Linked DNA regions of Stegostoma tigrinum. The protein of the gene in region 2 purifies or fractionates together with the protein of the main gene of each other region. This does not show direct contact. Links are inferred from orthologs where the notes say so. Each region holds a gene or a part of one and is shown on either strand. Other genes may lie near its edges.

Evidence for each region. The genes of interacting proteins can lie anywhere in the genome.
Region 1: the proteins of eif3hb (region 2) and eif3g purify together in Homo sapiens (affinity purification with mass spectrometry; 8 studies listed by BioGRID and IntAct, counting the BioPlex papers as one, with this or other methods). This does not show direct contact. The link is inferred for Stegostoma tigrinum from reciprocal best matches to the Homo sapiens genes EIF3H and EIF3G.

Annotation. Positions count from the first base shown.
Region 1 is NC_081388.1:22,375,198-22,382,999, forward strand, and holds the start of eif3g (eukaryotic translation initiation factor 3 subunit G), read right to left. Parts: upstream 3,004-7,802; 5' UTR 2,991-3,003; coding exon 2,902-2,990; intron 2,790-2,901; coding exon 2,743-2,789; intron 1-2,742. UniProt on the Homo sapiens protein: RNA-binding component of the eukaryotic translation initiation factor 3 (eIF-3) complex, which is required for several steps in the initiation of protein synthesis.
Region 2 is NC_081358.1:13,622,872-13,630,102, reverse strand, and holds the start of eif3hb (eukaryotic translation initiation factor 3 subunit H-B), read right to left. Parts: upstream 3,003-7,231; 5' UTR 2,997-3,002; coding exon 2,840-2,996; intron 1-2,839.

The sequences.
Region 1 (7,802 bases), on a different chromosome or scaffold from region 2:
CCCCCCAACATACTCCCCCTCCCCCACATCTCTCCCCCCGACATACTCCGTCCCCCCTCACATACTCCCCCCCACATACTCCGTCCTCCCCCCACATACTCCCCCTCCCCCCGACTCCCCCCCACATTCTCCGTTCCGCCCCCGACTCTCCCCTCCCACATACTCCCCCTCCCCCCCGACTCTCCCCCCCCACATACTCCCCCTCCCCCCCGACTCTCCCCCCCACATACTCACCCTCCTGCCCCGACTCTCCCCCCCAACATACTACTCCTCTCCCCCCACTCTCCACCCCAACATACTACTCCTCTCCCCCCACTCTCCCCCCCAACATACTCCCCCTCCCCCCAACATACTCCCCCCTCCCCCACATCTCTCCCCCCGACTCCCCCCCCACATACTCCGTCCCCCCCTCACATTCTCCGTTCCGTCCCCGACTCTCCCCCCCCACATACTCCCCCTCCCCCCGACTCTCCCCCCCCCACATACTCCCCCTCCCCCCCGACTCTCCCCCCCCCCACATACTCCCCCTCCCCCCCGACTCTCCCCCCCCCCACATACTCCCCCTCCCCCCCCCACATACTCCCCCTCCCCCCGACTCTCCCCCCCCACATACTCCCCCTCCCCCCCGACTCTCCCCCCCCCACATACTCCCCCTCCCCCCCCGACTCTCCCCCCCCCACATACTCCCCCTCCCCCCCCCACATACTCCCCCTCCCCCCGACTCTCCCTCCCCCCCGACTCTCCCCCCCCACATACTCCCCCTCCCCCCCCCACATACTCCCCCTCCCCCCGACTCTCCCTCCCCCCCGACTCTCCCCCCCCACATACTCCCCCTCCCCCCCGACTCCCCCCCCCACATACTCCCCCTCACCCCGACTCCCCCCCCACATACTCCCCCTCACCCCGACTCCCCCCCCCACATACTCCCCCTCACCCCGACTCCCCCCCCCACATACTCCCCCTCACCCCGACTCCCCCCCCCACATACTCCCCCTCACCCCGACTCCCCCCCCCCACATACTCCCCCTCACCCCGACTCCCCCCCCCCACATACTCCCCCTCCCCCCCGACTCCCCCCCCACATACTCCCCCTCCCCCCGACTCCCCCCCCCACATACTCCCCCTCCCCCCCGACTCCCCCCCCACATACTCCCCCTCCCCCCCCGACTCCCCCCCCCCACATACTCCCCCTCCCGCCCGACTCTCCCCCCCCACATACTCCCCCTCCCCCCCGACTCTCCCCCCCCACATACTCCCCCCCGACTCTCCCCCCCCACATACTCCCCCTCCCCCCGACTCTCCCCCCCACATACTCCCCCTCCCCCCCGACTCTCCCCCCCCACATACTCCCCCTCCCCCCGACTCTCCCCCCCCACATACTCCCCCTCCCCCCCGACTCTCCCCCCCCACATACTCCCCCTCCCCCCCGACTCTCCCCCTCCCCCCGACTCTCCCCCCCCACATACTCCCCCTCCCCCCCGACTCCCCCCCCCACATACTCCCCCCCCCACATACTCCCCCTCCCCCCGACTCTCCCCCCCCCGACTCTCCCCCTCCCCCCCGACTCTCCCCCCCACATACTCCCCCTCCCCCCCGACTCCCCCCCACATACTCCGTCCCCCCCCACATACTCCCCCTCCCCCCTACTCTCCCCCCCCACATACTCCCCCTCCCCCCCGACTCCCCCCCACATACTCCGTCTCCCCCCCACATACTCCCCCTCCCCCCGACTCCCCCCCCACATACTCCGTCTCCCCCCCACATACTCCCCCTCCCCCCCGACTCCCCCCCCACATACTCCCCCTCCTCCCCGACTCTCCCCCCACATACTCCCCCTCCTCCCCGACTCTCCCCCCACATACTCCCCCTCCTCCCCGACTCTCCCCCCCACATACTCCCCCTCCTCCCCGACTCTCCCCCCCACATACTCCCCCTCCTCCCCGACTCTCCCCCCCACATACTCCCCCTCCTCCCCGACTCTCCCCCCCACATACTCCCCCTCCCCCCCCCACATACTCCCCCTCCCCCCCGACTCTCCCCCCCAACATACTCCCCCTCCCCCCCGACTCTCCCCCCCAACATACTCCCCCTCCCCCCCGACTCTCCCCCCCAACATACTCCCCCTCCCCCCCGACTCTCCCCCCCAACATACTCCCCCTCCCCCCCGACTCTCCCCCCCAACATACTCCCCCTCCCCCCCGACTCTCCCCCCCAACATACTCCCCCTCCCCCCGACTCCCCCCCCACATACTCCGTTCCACCCCCGACTCTCCCCCCCCACATACTCCCCCTCCCCCCCGACTCTCCCCCCCAACATACTCCCCCTCCGCCCCCACTCTCCCCCCCCACATACTCCGTTCCACCCCCGACTCTCCCCCCCCACATACTCCCCCTCCCCCCCGACTCTCCCCCCCAACATACTCCCCCTCCCCCCGACTCCCCCCCCACATACTCCGTTCCACCCCCGACTCTCCCCCCCCACATACTCCCCCTCCCCCCCGACTCTCCCCCCCAACATACTCCCCCTCCGCCCCCACTCTCCCCCCCACGCCCCCAACCCCCAACTCTCCCCACACACGCCCCGTTCCCGCTGCACACTACCGCCCCCCCCCCAATCTCCGGAAGGGACGGGCGGTAATGCTCGTGACCCAGGATCCCGATTATTTTCAGCGGGAGCTGCCCCGGCGGCGGTAGCTGGGACCCGGCCCACGTGTGGGGCCCGGCCTGAGGCCTGTTCCTTACCCTCGTCTCCCTCCTCCTCCACCTGGTCGGCCCAGCTGGGCTTCGAGCTGCGGGGCAGAGAGAAACAAAACACGTTCCGGTTAGCGACGGAGAGACTGGCGGCTCCGCGAGTAACTCACACCCTCTCCTAGGGTTTCCGAGCCCAAGCCCCGCACTCACTCGAAATCCATAGTGAACCGGAACCGGGCGCATCCAGAGAGCCGGAGATAGGCCGCAGGCTGGGCGGATACGGTGGCCTCCCAAAACATCGCCACCCGGCGGCTGGGCAGCTACAGTAACCGCCCAACACAGCGCCACCCGGAGGCTGGGCAGGTGCAGTGACCTCCCAAAACTGCGCCATCAAAAGGCTGGGCAGAGGCTGCGACCTCCCAAACCAGCGCCACCCGGAGGCTGAGCAGACACTGACACCTCCCTGCACAGTGCCACCCTCAGGCTGGGCGGACACAGTGACCTCCCAATACAGCGCCACCTGCAGGCTGGACGGACTGAATAACCATACAAAACAGCGCCCGTCGGCATATGAGAGATAACAAGATGCAGGGATAATGGGAACTGCAGACGCTGGAGAATCCAAGATAATAAAATGTGAGGCTGGATGAACACAGCAGGCCAAGCAGCATCTCAGGAGCACAAAAGCTGACGTTTCGGGCCTAGACCCTTCATCAGAGAGGGGGATGGGGTGAGGGAACTGGAATAAATAGGGAGAGAGGGGGGAGGCGGACCGAAGATGGATAGAGGAGAAGATAGGTGGAGAGGAGAGTATAGGTGGGGAGGGAGGGAGGGGATAGATCAGTCCAGGGAAGACGGACAGGTCAAGGAGGTAGGAAATGGAGGTGTGGCTTGGGGTGGGAGGAAGGGATAGGTGAGAGGAAGAAGAGGTTAGGGAGGCAGAGACAGGCTGGGCTGGTTTTGGGATGCAGTGGGTGGAGGGGAAGAGCTGGGCTCCCAAAACCAGCCCAGCCTTCTCTGCCTCCCTCACGTCCACACCAACCCTCAGAATATTATCCACCCACGCCCCCGGACCCATCCCTGAACACTACGGGCAATTTAGCACAGCCAATCGACCTAAACTGCACATCTTTGGACTGTGGGAGGAAACCGGAGCACCCGGAGGAAACCTATGCAGACATGGGGAGAACGTGCAAACTCCACACAGTCACCCGAGGCTGGAATTGAACCCGGGTCCCTGGTGCTGTGAAGCTGCGGTGCTGACCACTGAGCGACGTGCTGCCTCATTAATTTTGTCCAACTCAACCATACTGACAAGATATCCTAAATTAATCTAGTCCCATTTGCCAGCATTTGGCCTACAACCTTTCAAACCCTTCCTATTCATATAATGAGCCAGATGCCTTTTAAATGTTGTAATTGTACCAGTCTCCATCACTTTCACTGTTCCTTCATTATTCTCAGGAACTCAGTTATCCAGACACACTTGTTACTAAACAAAAGACACAGTCAGCTGTGCAGGTTCACTGCTGATTTCTTTTCACTTCCCCATGTGGTCTCTACTTTGTCTGCCTTCCTCCTTTTTAAAGTGCTGTTGTTTTGACTTTTTCTTCCAAAGTTTCAAAACAACGTGACTGCTCAAAAGACAGTAATTACTTCTCCAAAAAATCAAGGAAACCATCTTCACCACTGAAAATACCTCAAAAGGAGCAGCTCCTACAGCCACAAATTTTCCCCATCCTCCATGTTGAATTACCCAGAATCTTTTTCATTTGATTTGGTTTATTGTCACATGTGCCTGAGTACAGTGAAAAGCTTTGTTTTGCGAGCAGTACAGGTAGGTCATAGCAAACAAGGACATATAGATCACAGAGATAGTGAGAACTGCTGATGTTGGAGCCTGAGATAACAAGGTATAGAAATGGATGAACACTGCGAGCCAGGCAGCATCAGAGGAGCAGGAAAGAAGACATTTCCGGTCGGGACCCTTCTTCAGAAAACTTTCTTCTGAAGAAGGCCCCACACCTAAAAAGTCAACCTTGCTGCTCCTTTGATGCATACAGATGGCAGGGTGCTCAGACAGAGTGAGACATACAGCGTATACTGCTCAGAAGGTGCGCAAAGCAAGACTAACATTATTTGAAATGGGAGAGGTTCATTCAGCAGTCTGATAACCGCAGGGAAGAAGCAGTTCTTGAACCTGTTGGTACATATGTTTAAGCTGCTATTATCTTCTGCCTGACAGAGGAGGTTGAGAAGAGATTATCACTGGGGCGGGAGGGGTCTTTGACAACGTTCACAGCCTTTCCATGGCAACAAGAAGTGTCAATGGAGTTCATGAATGGGAGGTTGGCTTGTGTGATGGTGTGAGCTGTACCCACAACTTCCCGTGGTTTCTTACGGTTCTAAGCAGATTTCCAGCAGCCACGTTCTTTTGCTTGTATTTTGAGAATTTCTGTGAGATCCTGGATTGAGGAAGATATGCTTGATTAGGAGTGAAACCAGGAAACACATCCCTGTTCACACAAAGAATAGGGAACATCTGGAACTCAGATGGAGATCTGGTTTCAGTTGGAGATTTCAGTCTGGGATTGATAGAATATTGTGTAATTGTAAATCTGGACCAATGATCGGTAAAGAGCAGGTACCATCTGACTGAATGGCAGAACAGACTTGCGGGATGAGTGGCCTGTTCCTGTTTCTGTTCCCGATGCTGCAAGGCCAAAAAGTGAAGCCCGATCACAGAACTGTTTAAGAAAACTCTTAAAATTTCCAACATGTTGCATTTATTGTGGATCTTTTAACATGTTTAAATGATCCTGGGGCATTCAAGAAGGATAAGGGTTTGCAAGCATCCTTGCAAAGAGCAGAGAGAATTAAAAAGAAACAGAAATGTCTTGTTGTTATCAGTATGACAGTAAACATGGCAAGTTCCTGCAGCCTTTCTCAGTGGAGCATGTAATGGTCACGCTATCTGCTGCATTGATCGGATATTTCAAACTGAAAACAGCTTTTATTATTGATGTTGAGTAACGATTAGAAACTATGCATTCCTTAAATCACAGATTATATCTTCGGCAGTGATGCAAACTGGAAAGTGTGTTTTGACCACGGTTCGGAATCCTTCCTCAAAAATGATTATACTCGAATCAACGTATTTACTGCATTTCCCTTACCAGAGAGACCACCAGATTTAAACGTTCTGTTTTTATTTCAAGTTTGCAGCGTCTAAAGTATTTTTCTTTGACAGTAAAACAGCAAGGCCAATCGTAAGGCATTTGCCCACAGAATCATGTTTAGGGGAGTCATAGCAGCACAGAAACAGGCCCTTCATCCCAACCTGTCCATGCCGACTTGGTTTCCAAAACTGTCCTAGTCCTGTTTGCATGCATTTGGCTCCCTTTCCATGTACCTGTCCAAATGCCTTTTAAATGTACTATTTGTATCCACCTCTGTCACATCCTGTTGCAGCTTGTTCCATGTACGCACACGATGAGATAGTTGGCTCTCTCCCCCGTACCCAGCTTTTCCTGGAGACGTGTGGGTGGAAAAGAAAATCTCAAAGAAAACCACGTTAGTGCAGCAAAAACGTCTTTATGTTCAACTTGTTCATGCTGCACAGTGGCCTGACCTGGCGTTACCTTGAGGACATTTTATTTCTGCTCATTGTGTTGCCTGTCCAGCATATTGTCATCACTCTCGAACATCAATTCCACATTCCCACGCTGCGGTGTAAAACCCCACAGCATTCGCGTTCCCCTCCTGCAGCTTCAACTCAGGACGGAGAATGGCGGGAGTGGGTGGTTTCAGCAGATTCCTTAAGACTGCTGGTTTGGAGAATGTGCTGTATCTGTGATTACCGTACCCCACTGTATCTGTAATTACCGTACCCCCCTGTATCTGTAATTACCGTACCCCCCTGTATCTGTAATTACCGTACCCTCCTGTATCTGCAATTACCGTCCCCCCCTGTATCTGTAATTACCGTACCCTCCTGTATCTGCAATTACCGTCCCCCACTGTATCTGTAATTACCGTCCCCCACTGTATCTGTAATTACCGTACCCTCCTGTATCTGCAATTACCGTCCCCCCCTGTATCTGTAATTACCGTACCCTCCTGTATCTGCAATTACCGTCCCCCACTGTATCTGTAATTACCGTCCCCCACTGTATCTGTAATTACCGTACCCTCCTGTATCTGCAATTACCGTCCCCCCCTGTATCTGTAATTACCGTACCCTCCTGTATCTGTAATTACCGTACCCTCCTGTATCTGCAATTACCGTCCCCCACTGTATCTGTAATTACCGTCCCCCACTGTATCTGTAATTACCGTACCCCCTGTATCTGTAATTACCGTACCCCCTGTATCTGTGATTACCGTACCCCCCTGTATCTGTAATTACCGTACCCTCTGTATCTGTAATTACCGTACCCCCCTGTATCTGCAATTACCGTCCCCCCCTGTATCTGTAATTACCGTACCCTCTGTATCTGTAATTACCGTACCCTCCTGTATCTGCAATTACCGTCCCCCCCTGTATCTGTAATTACCGTCCCCCACTGTATCTGTAATTACCGTACCCCCTGTATCTGTAATTACCGTACCCCCTGTATCTGTGATTACCGTACCCCCCTGTATCTGTAATTACCGTACCCTCTGTATCTGTAATTACCGTACCCCTCTGTATCTGTAATTACCGTACCCCCCTGTATCTGTAATTACCGTACCCCACTGTATCTGTAATTACCGTACCCCCCTGTATCTGTAATTACCGTACCCCCTGTATCTGTGATTACCGTACCCCTCTGTATCTGTAATTACCGTACCCCACTGTATCTGTAATTACCGTACCCCTCTGTATCTGTAATTACCGTACCCCACTGTATCTGTAATTACCGTACCCCCCTGTATCTGTGATTACCGTACCCCCCTGTATCTGTAATTACCGTACCCCACTGTATCTGTAATTACCGTACCCCCCTGTATCTGTGATTACCGTACCCCCCTGTATCTGTAATTACCGTACCCCACTGTATCTGTGATTACCGTACCCCCCTGTATCTGTAATTACCGTACCCCCCTGTATCTGTAATTACCGTACCCTC
Region 2 (7,231 bases):
AGTCAACTCTCGCACAAAAGGAAGATGATTGTGGTTGCAGACCAAATGTTTCAGTCCAAGTCCAGGAATATCACTGCTTGTATTTTTCACTTCAGTGTCCTATGCCCAACCAAGAAATTAGGATGTCTGCAGATGATTGGAAATTGAACAATGTCATTCATCTAGTCAAATCACAAGTAAAATTATGCCAAAATGCAATCAGACCAGGACAAGACTTAGACTTGGTTAACAAGTGGCAAGCAACATGCATGCTGGACCTATGACAGACAATGACTATCTCCAACAAGAGAATGAACGATTTCCTTACAACATCTAGCAGTATTTCCAGCATTCGAATGCCGACAACACCTTAATTTACACCATTAACCAGAAAGATAACTGGGCCTGCCAATACTGTCTCCCCAAAATATGTCCATTATCAACAAGGCACAAAAAAGGCAAGATGCATTTATATAGTGCTTTTCCAACATCAGCACATGCCAAAACACTTACTTGAAAAACAGGAATTGCAAAAGGCTACTTCCACAGAACAAAGTACAACCAGATAATGCATTCTGGTGAAGCTAAGGAATAAACATAAATTAGCTCGTCAGTACATGATAGGATACTGTCCCCATGCCTGATTAGTAAAATATCAACGATAGCCAAAAAGACTGGCATTCACCCATGACTTAAATATAATTGCCTTCACCCCCAGCACATCTGAAGCGCAAAATCTTGACGCAGTATCTTGCCAATACATCTTCAATCAACATCATTGTCAAAATCTATCACTACAAAGGCAACAGTCGCATTGTGACATCACCGGTTCCACATTTTCTTCCAAGTCTTATGCAATACTCACTTAAAAATAAATACTATTTCTTCATTGTTATTGAGCCCAAATCCTGGAACACCTCTCTGTAACCCCATACAAACATCACTTTGGGAGTATCTTAATCACACAATAACTAGTGTTGCTAACCACATCCACATTTCATAAATGGATAAAAACGTTGCATAAAAGGAGCCTACACCTCGTCACAGTGAGCCCTCTATACTTGTTTGGAAAAATAAACTTTATCTAAATATGAACTCATGCACTGATGGGTCTAGGCCCGAAACGTCAGCTTTTGTGCTCCTGAGATGCTGCTTGGCCTGCTGTGTTCATCCAGCCTCACATTTTATTATCTTGGAATCTCCAGCATCTGCAGTTCCCATTATCACTGATGGAGTAAGTTGCTTAGGTAGAATACCAAGTATCCAGGTGTTACATTTTATATTACTGATCAGTCAAGTCAAACTCCAGACATTTTCTGGAACTATAAGCTGAAATGCATCTGAAGAAAATGACCACCTTGGGAAAGAGAACCTGATTCTCATTCTCAAACATCTACATTTGAGGAGAACGGAAAACTGGTACTCGAAGGCAGTGCAAGGTACACTGCTGGGACAGAGTAAAGAGAACTTTAAGTTCTATTTAAATCGTACTAAAATCAGACAAACCTGGGAATGCTTAAAGATGACATAGTGTCCAGAAAATGTGGAAAAAAAACGAAGAATCTCGCACGACCAAACATTCAAAGTGAATGTATTATCTACAAATGTCTTGCAAGTGACAAATCTGGCTTTTGTCCAATCAGCAGTAAGCAGTATTCTCGAAATAGGAAATACAGACAGACGACCTATAGGGAGTTATCGAAGAGTAATGTGTGGTAACTCCAGTTTCCTTAACTTGCTATTTACTCAAAATGCATGGTGTGGAAAATTGTTGCTCCTATTCTTGTCTAGCAAACTGTGCTGACTTATTGGGTGCATTGGATAGATTTCAAACCAAGTGTAGTTTTAACCTAGATATAAAAATCTGAATATTGTCAATCAAAATGCATAGAGAAATCTAGTTACTTAACATAATTTCATTTTGTGCCTGAAGAGATGAAACTGATGCAGTTTTCTTCTGACAAAAGATTTGGGTTTAGTCACATTTCAATAGCACCATTTTCAAGGTACATGGGTTTTAGTTCCATATTAATTATATTAGCCAAGCTTGAAGTAACTTATTAAATATTTTCAAATAAATGGAAAACTGTACAGAAAGAGAAACAAAACAAATTCCTACATATAAGTAATTATGTAGAACAGAAAATTTGATAAAAATGGAAAATTCAGGAGGAAATGGTAAAAAAATTCCAATGAATAAAGTATATTTTAACAGCTTTTCAACTGTAATCCGATTGTTAACATACTGAAACAATTTTTGTGTTACCCAAAGATTAATCGTGCTCATTAGTATTTTTTCTGACAGATATTCAGGATGTAACATTTACTTCTCGGTTGGAAACTTTGTAACAGCCTGCCAGCTATGGCAAATAGTGAGCTTGGGGAAGGCAATAAAGATGTTTTACCTACAGCTATGATACTGCACAGAACATCTGGTTTAGTGAGTAAAGGAAACGCCACTAAATGGGCAGAAAAAAGAAAATCTTTGTGCTAAGAACAGTCTACGTTTTGTGAGCGCCTGTCAGAGGTGCAATCTGGCAAAATGTGTCATAACTGTAAGGTCACGTACTGAGCCAGACTCAAGCAATCAGTTTTTGTTAGACATCTGGTCCTGTTCCACCCGCCATCAACAAGGGGGAAGAGGAATGAAAAAAAATTGAAGCAGCAACTTCAGCATTCCAGAATGTACACATCAGGGCTCTGATAGCAAGAAAAATAAACAGAAAGAAGGAAACCCTGTCTAGACTGAGCTGCTGCTGGGGCTGAGGCAGACACTGGGCTGGTATTTACTGAGAGGGACTGCCAGGCAGCACTGCCAGGTAAACAGTGAAGTAGAAATGAATAGGAAAACGTCACTGACCATAGATGAGGACCACAGACTCTTCAATTGCGTGTTGGTAACTAAACTGGGAGTCCAACAAAGCTCGACTGACGAAAGAGCCATAGTAGGTTGACTGGTACCAGCCAACATGGAGGTGGTCTATGTTAACATGACGCAAGCTTCTCATCATTTCCATTTGGTATTGAACTGTAAAACAAACAGAAAGAAACCATTTTTTTCAATTTTAAGCAGAGTTACAATCAGATTTACACTGCTTAAATATTTTATGATCAGATTCTGTCTATGAATGATACAACACAAAACATTAAACACCATTCTCAAGTATTAACCCTGCAGAGTACTGTTACATATATTTGACACAAAACCTATTGGTACCACTTGATAATTATCTCTCAGTCTGATCCCTGCTGAAAATCTACTCCTGGTCAGGACTTAAGATTCAAGCACATTATTACGCTTATGTGTAAAACTTCTGCAAGTCAGAAAAAAACATGCACATGATAATTTACTCCAGCGAAAACTTTAGAATTACTAGTCTAGATAATTGGAAACTATTTAGATAGTGGGACATACCACATAACATTCAATACTATCATTTGGTTACACGTTCTTTAACTTGTACAGAATAAATAATCAATCTGTAACACTCACACACATTATTATTAGATATTAAAGTATATAATAATGATGATCACCCAAGATCGTAGAGGGCTTTCACAGATGTCCAACTTACTTTGTGCACCAATTGCCATTATTTGGGCTAGAGACCACAAAAGATACAATTTTAACCCATTTTCTTTTAAAATACTGTTTACAGAAAGTCTAAAATGCTCAACTTCAAAATACAGAATAGCGGTTACATCCAAGACACAATTTCTACAAGGTTGATACGTCAAAGTTGACCACACTGAACTTGCCTACTACTCAAATCTCAAAACAATCCTTTGTTGCTTTAAACTAGAAACATGCCTGATGGCTTATAACCATTCCAAACAACCAGAGTATTTAAAATCTTCGAGATCTATTAGGGATTGGACAATACCCACACAAGAACAGGATTAGGCCATTCGGCACTCAAACCTGTTCCATCATTCCAGATAATGGCTGATCATCTATCTCAATGCCATATTCATGCAATATTCCGACTTCTCTTGGTATCATCAGTAACTAGAAATGTGTAAATGTCTACTTTGAACTTAATGACTGAAATTCCACAGCCCCCTCAGTTAGAGAATTTTAAAGATTCACCAACCTCCAGGCGAAGAAGTTCTTCATTTCACTGCAATAAATGACTATGCTATGGACTAGTAACATCCTCAAAACACTAACTGGCAGCCAAACATGTTTTCACCTTCATAAATCCACTTGGACTCTATCCACTCAGACAAATATTTTCTAAAGATCCTCTAATCACATCCTTTATAACAATCCTGATATGTTCCTGACAACTAATATCAGGCTAACAAGTCATCATGTTCCCTGCTTTTTAGGCTCCTTTCTTAAACAATGGGGTTACATTTGCAACCTTCAGGCACTTTTGTTGAATTAATCAAATTTTGAAAGAAGACCACCAGTGTATCCACTATTTCTCCAGCCAGGGCTTTAAACTCTCAAGTTGGGTCCTGGATATTTCTCAACTTTCAGCTCCATTAACTTCTCCAATGCAACTTTCCTAATAGGTTTATTTGTTTTTTGGTTTCACACTTGCACTAGATTGCTAGATTTAATTATTTCAGAAAGACCACTTGTATCTTCTACCGTGAAGATGTAGGGAAGTACTTATTTAGCTTTTTGTATCAGTGATAATGGGAACTGCAGATGCTGGAGAATTCGAGATAATAAAGTGTGAAGCTGGATGAACACAGCAGGCCAAGCGGCATCTTAGGAGCATAAAAGCTGACTTTTCGGGCCTAGTCCCTTCATCAGAGAGCTCTCTGATGAAGGGTCTAGGCCCGAAACGTCAGCTTTTGTGCTCCCGAGATGCTGCTTGGCCTGCTGTGTTCATCCAGCTTCACACTTTATTATTTAGCTTTTTTGCTATTTCTTAATTTCCCGTTATAAATTCTCCTGTCTCTGCCTGTAATGGATCCATAATTCTCATGGCTCATCTTTCCCTTCTTAGCGCTCTGCTTTTCCTGTAGAAAACCCTTGCCTTCAAAGTAAAATACATACTAGTTTGAAAACCAAGCATCAATTTCTTAAATACTACCATGGCTTACTTACTGCCAAACCTTTTAATTTATTTTTTCCAATACACTATATGCAACTTCTTCCTCATACCTTCAAAATTTGTCCAGGTTTATTTTTAAAGACCCTACACCCAAATTGAACTACTTGAAAATTCAATCATACTATGGTCACTATTCCCTGAAGGCTCTTCTAAAACAAGATCTTAAAAAATTATCCGAACATGAGATGTGAATGCTGCTGATGAGAACAGCACTTATTGCCCATTCCTAATTGCTCAGAGGGCAATTCAGAGTCAAGTACACTGCAGTGGATCTGGAGTTTCAGGTAGGCCAGATCAGGTAAGGATCGCAGGCTTCTTTCCAGAACTGTCGTCAATGAGCCAAATGTTTTCTGTAACATTGGATAGGTCACAATTAGGCTAAATTTTAATTCCACTTTTTGTGGATTTCAGATTTCCACTATCTGCCATACTATGATGTGAATCCAGAATATAAGCCTGGGCTCTGGATTACTATTTCAGGATTATTAGATGGGCAGCACTTCTGCCTCACAGCAGAGACCCAGGTTCGATTCCACCCTCAGGCGACTGTCTATGTGGAGTTTTCACATTCCCATGTCTGTGTGGCTTTACTCCGGGTGATCCAGTTTCCTCCAACAGTACAAAGACATGCAGGTTAGGTGGATTGGTCATGCTAAATTGCCCATTGTGTCCAGGGGATATGCTAGATGGATTAGCTATGGGAAATGCAGGATTACAGGGATAAAGAAAAGCGGTGGTCTGGTCTTCAGAGGGTCGATGTGGACTCAATGGATCAAATGGTCTGCTTCCACACTGTGGGGATTCTATGATTACCACCATGCTATTGCCTCACCATCATTTGCTCATTTTCACTCCATAATGCTAGATCTAAAATGGCCCATGCCTGAGTTGGTTCCTCAACTCATTGATCCAGAGACCCTCCCAAACAAATTCCAGGAATTCCTCCGCCACAACCTTTACACTTATTAGATTTATCCAGTCTACATGTTGATGTAAGTCACCCTTGATAACACTTCCCCTTGCCTCCAAGCATCTCTAATTTCTCGATTTATACCATGCCTTACAATACCAAAACTGTTTAACCACTCCTGCTTATGTTTACTGAGTCTTGCTTGAACCAAAATTCCATGCCATGCTCTTCTCTCACTGAAAAACTGAGCGTGTCCATCATGGTCACCGCTACCATTACCTCCTTCCATCCCTCCTGAAGTTCGACAATCCTTTAACATTTGTCTCCCAAGGTTTGATTACCCCACAGCGTGGTGTTCATAATGGCAATTAAATAATACCCTTTTAACCCTATTACTGCCATCAGCTCACCTATCTTGTTGAGAATGTTGCATGCATTCAGGTAGACTGCTTTTAATTCTGCCTTTTTACACTATTGTGCAATTTGAACCTAGGATTTGTTTGTGCTGCTTTCCACTGTTGGTTATAGCATTTCTGCTTCCCATTGCTACCTTCGCTTTTATTCTATCCAAATTTACACTTGGCATCCCTTCCCCCAACAAGTGAGTTTAAATCCTCTACAACATAACTAGCCTATCTTCCAACAGCATATCCCATGAAAGCATTTTTAAACAACAGATATAGTTACGTAAATCTGAAAACCATTATCAAGCACCCATCACGTTTTCCCTATAAAAATTACAGAATTCAAGATATCAGTTAGCATCGCTGTTCATCTTGATTGACAAAAAAAATTAAATATAAGCATTTTTAACAATCACTTCTCATTACTGTTTAATTAAATAAAGACTCCGACTCAAAGTACGTTTACCAACAGTAACTTGAATCAAAATGCCTGTAGGTGTTATGTCAATTATATTTTCAACTCTATTTGGCAGAATGCAGCATCTTGCACTAACCAATAAGAATTACATGTACAAGGTTTCATTTAAATTCTGACAAATAAAATTTAAAAGCTTTTTTCAAAATATGAGCTATGTACTTTGTTTTAAAACAAGTCCTTCCAGCATGCAAAGCTGTTCAATGAAAGGGAAAACTATTTTCCACCTGAAAGCAATACTATTAGATAATAGATCATTTTTATTTATCTAAAAGAGAATTATTAATGATTACCTTCATTGATTTCATGGTTAGAATTTAAAAGTCACAGGACAGGGTAGAAGGCATGTTACCAGTAGGTGGCTCAAGCTGCTACACTTAGGAAGGCAAGT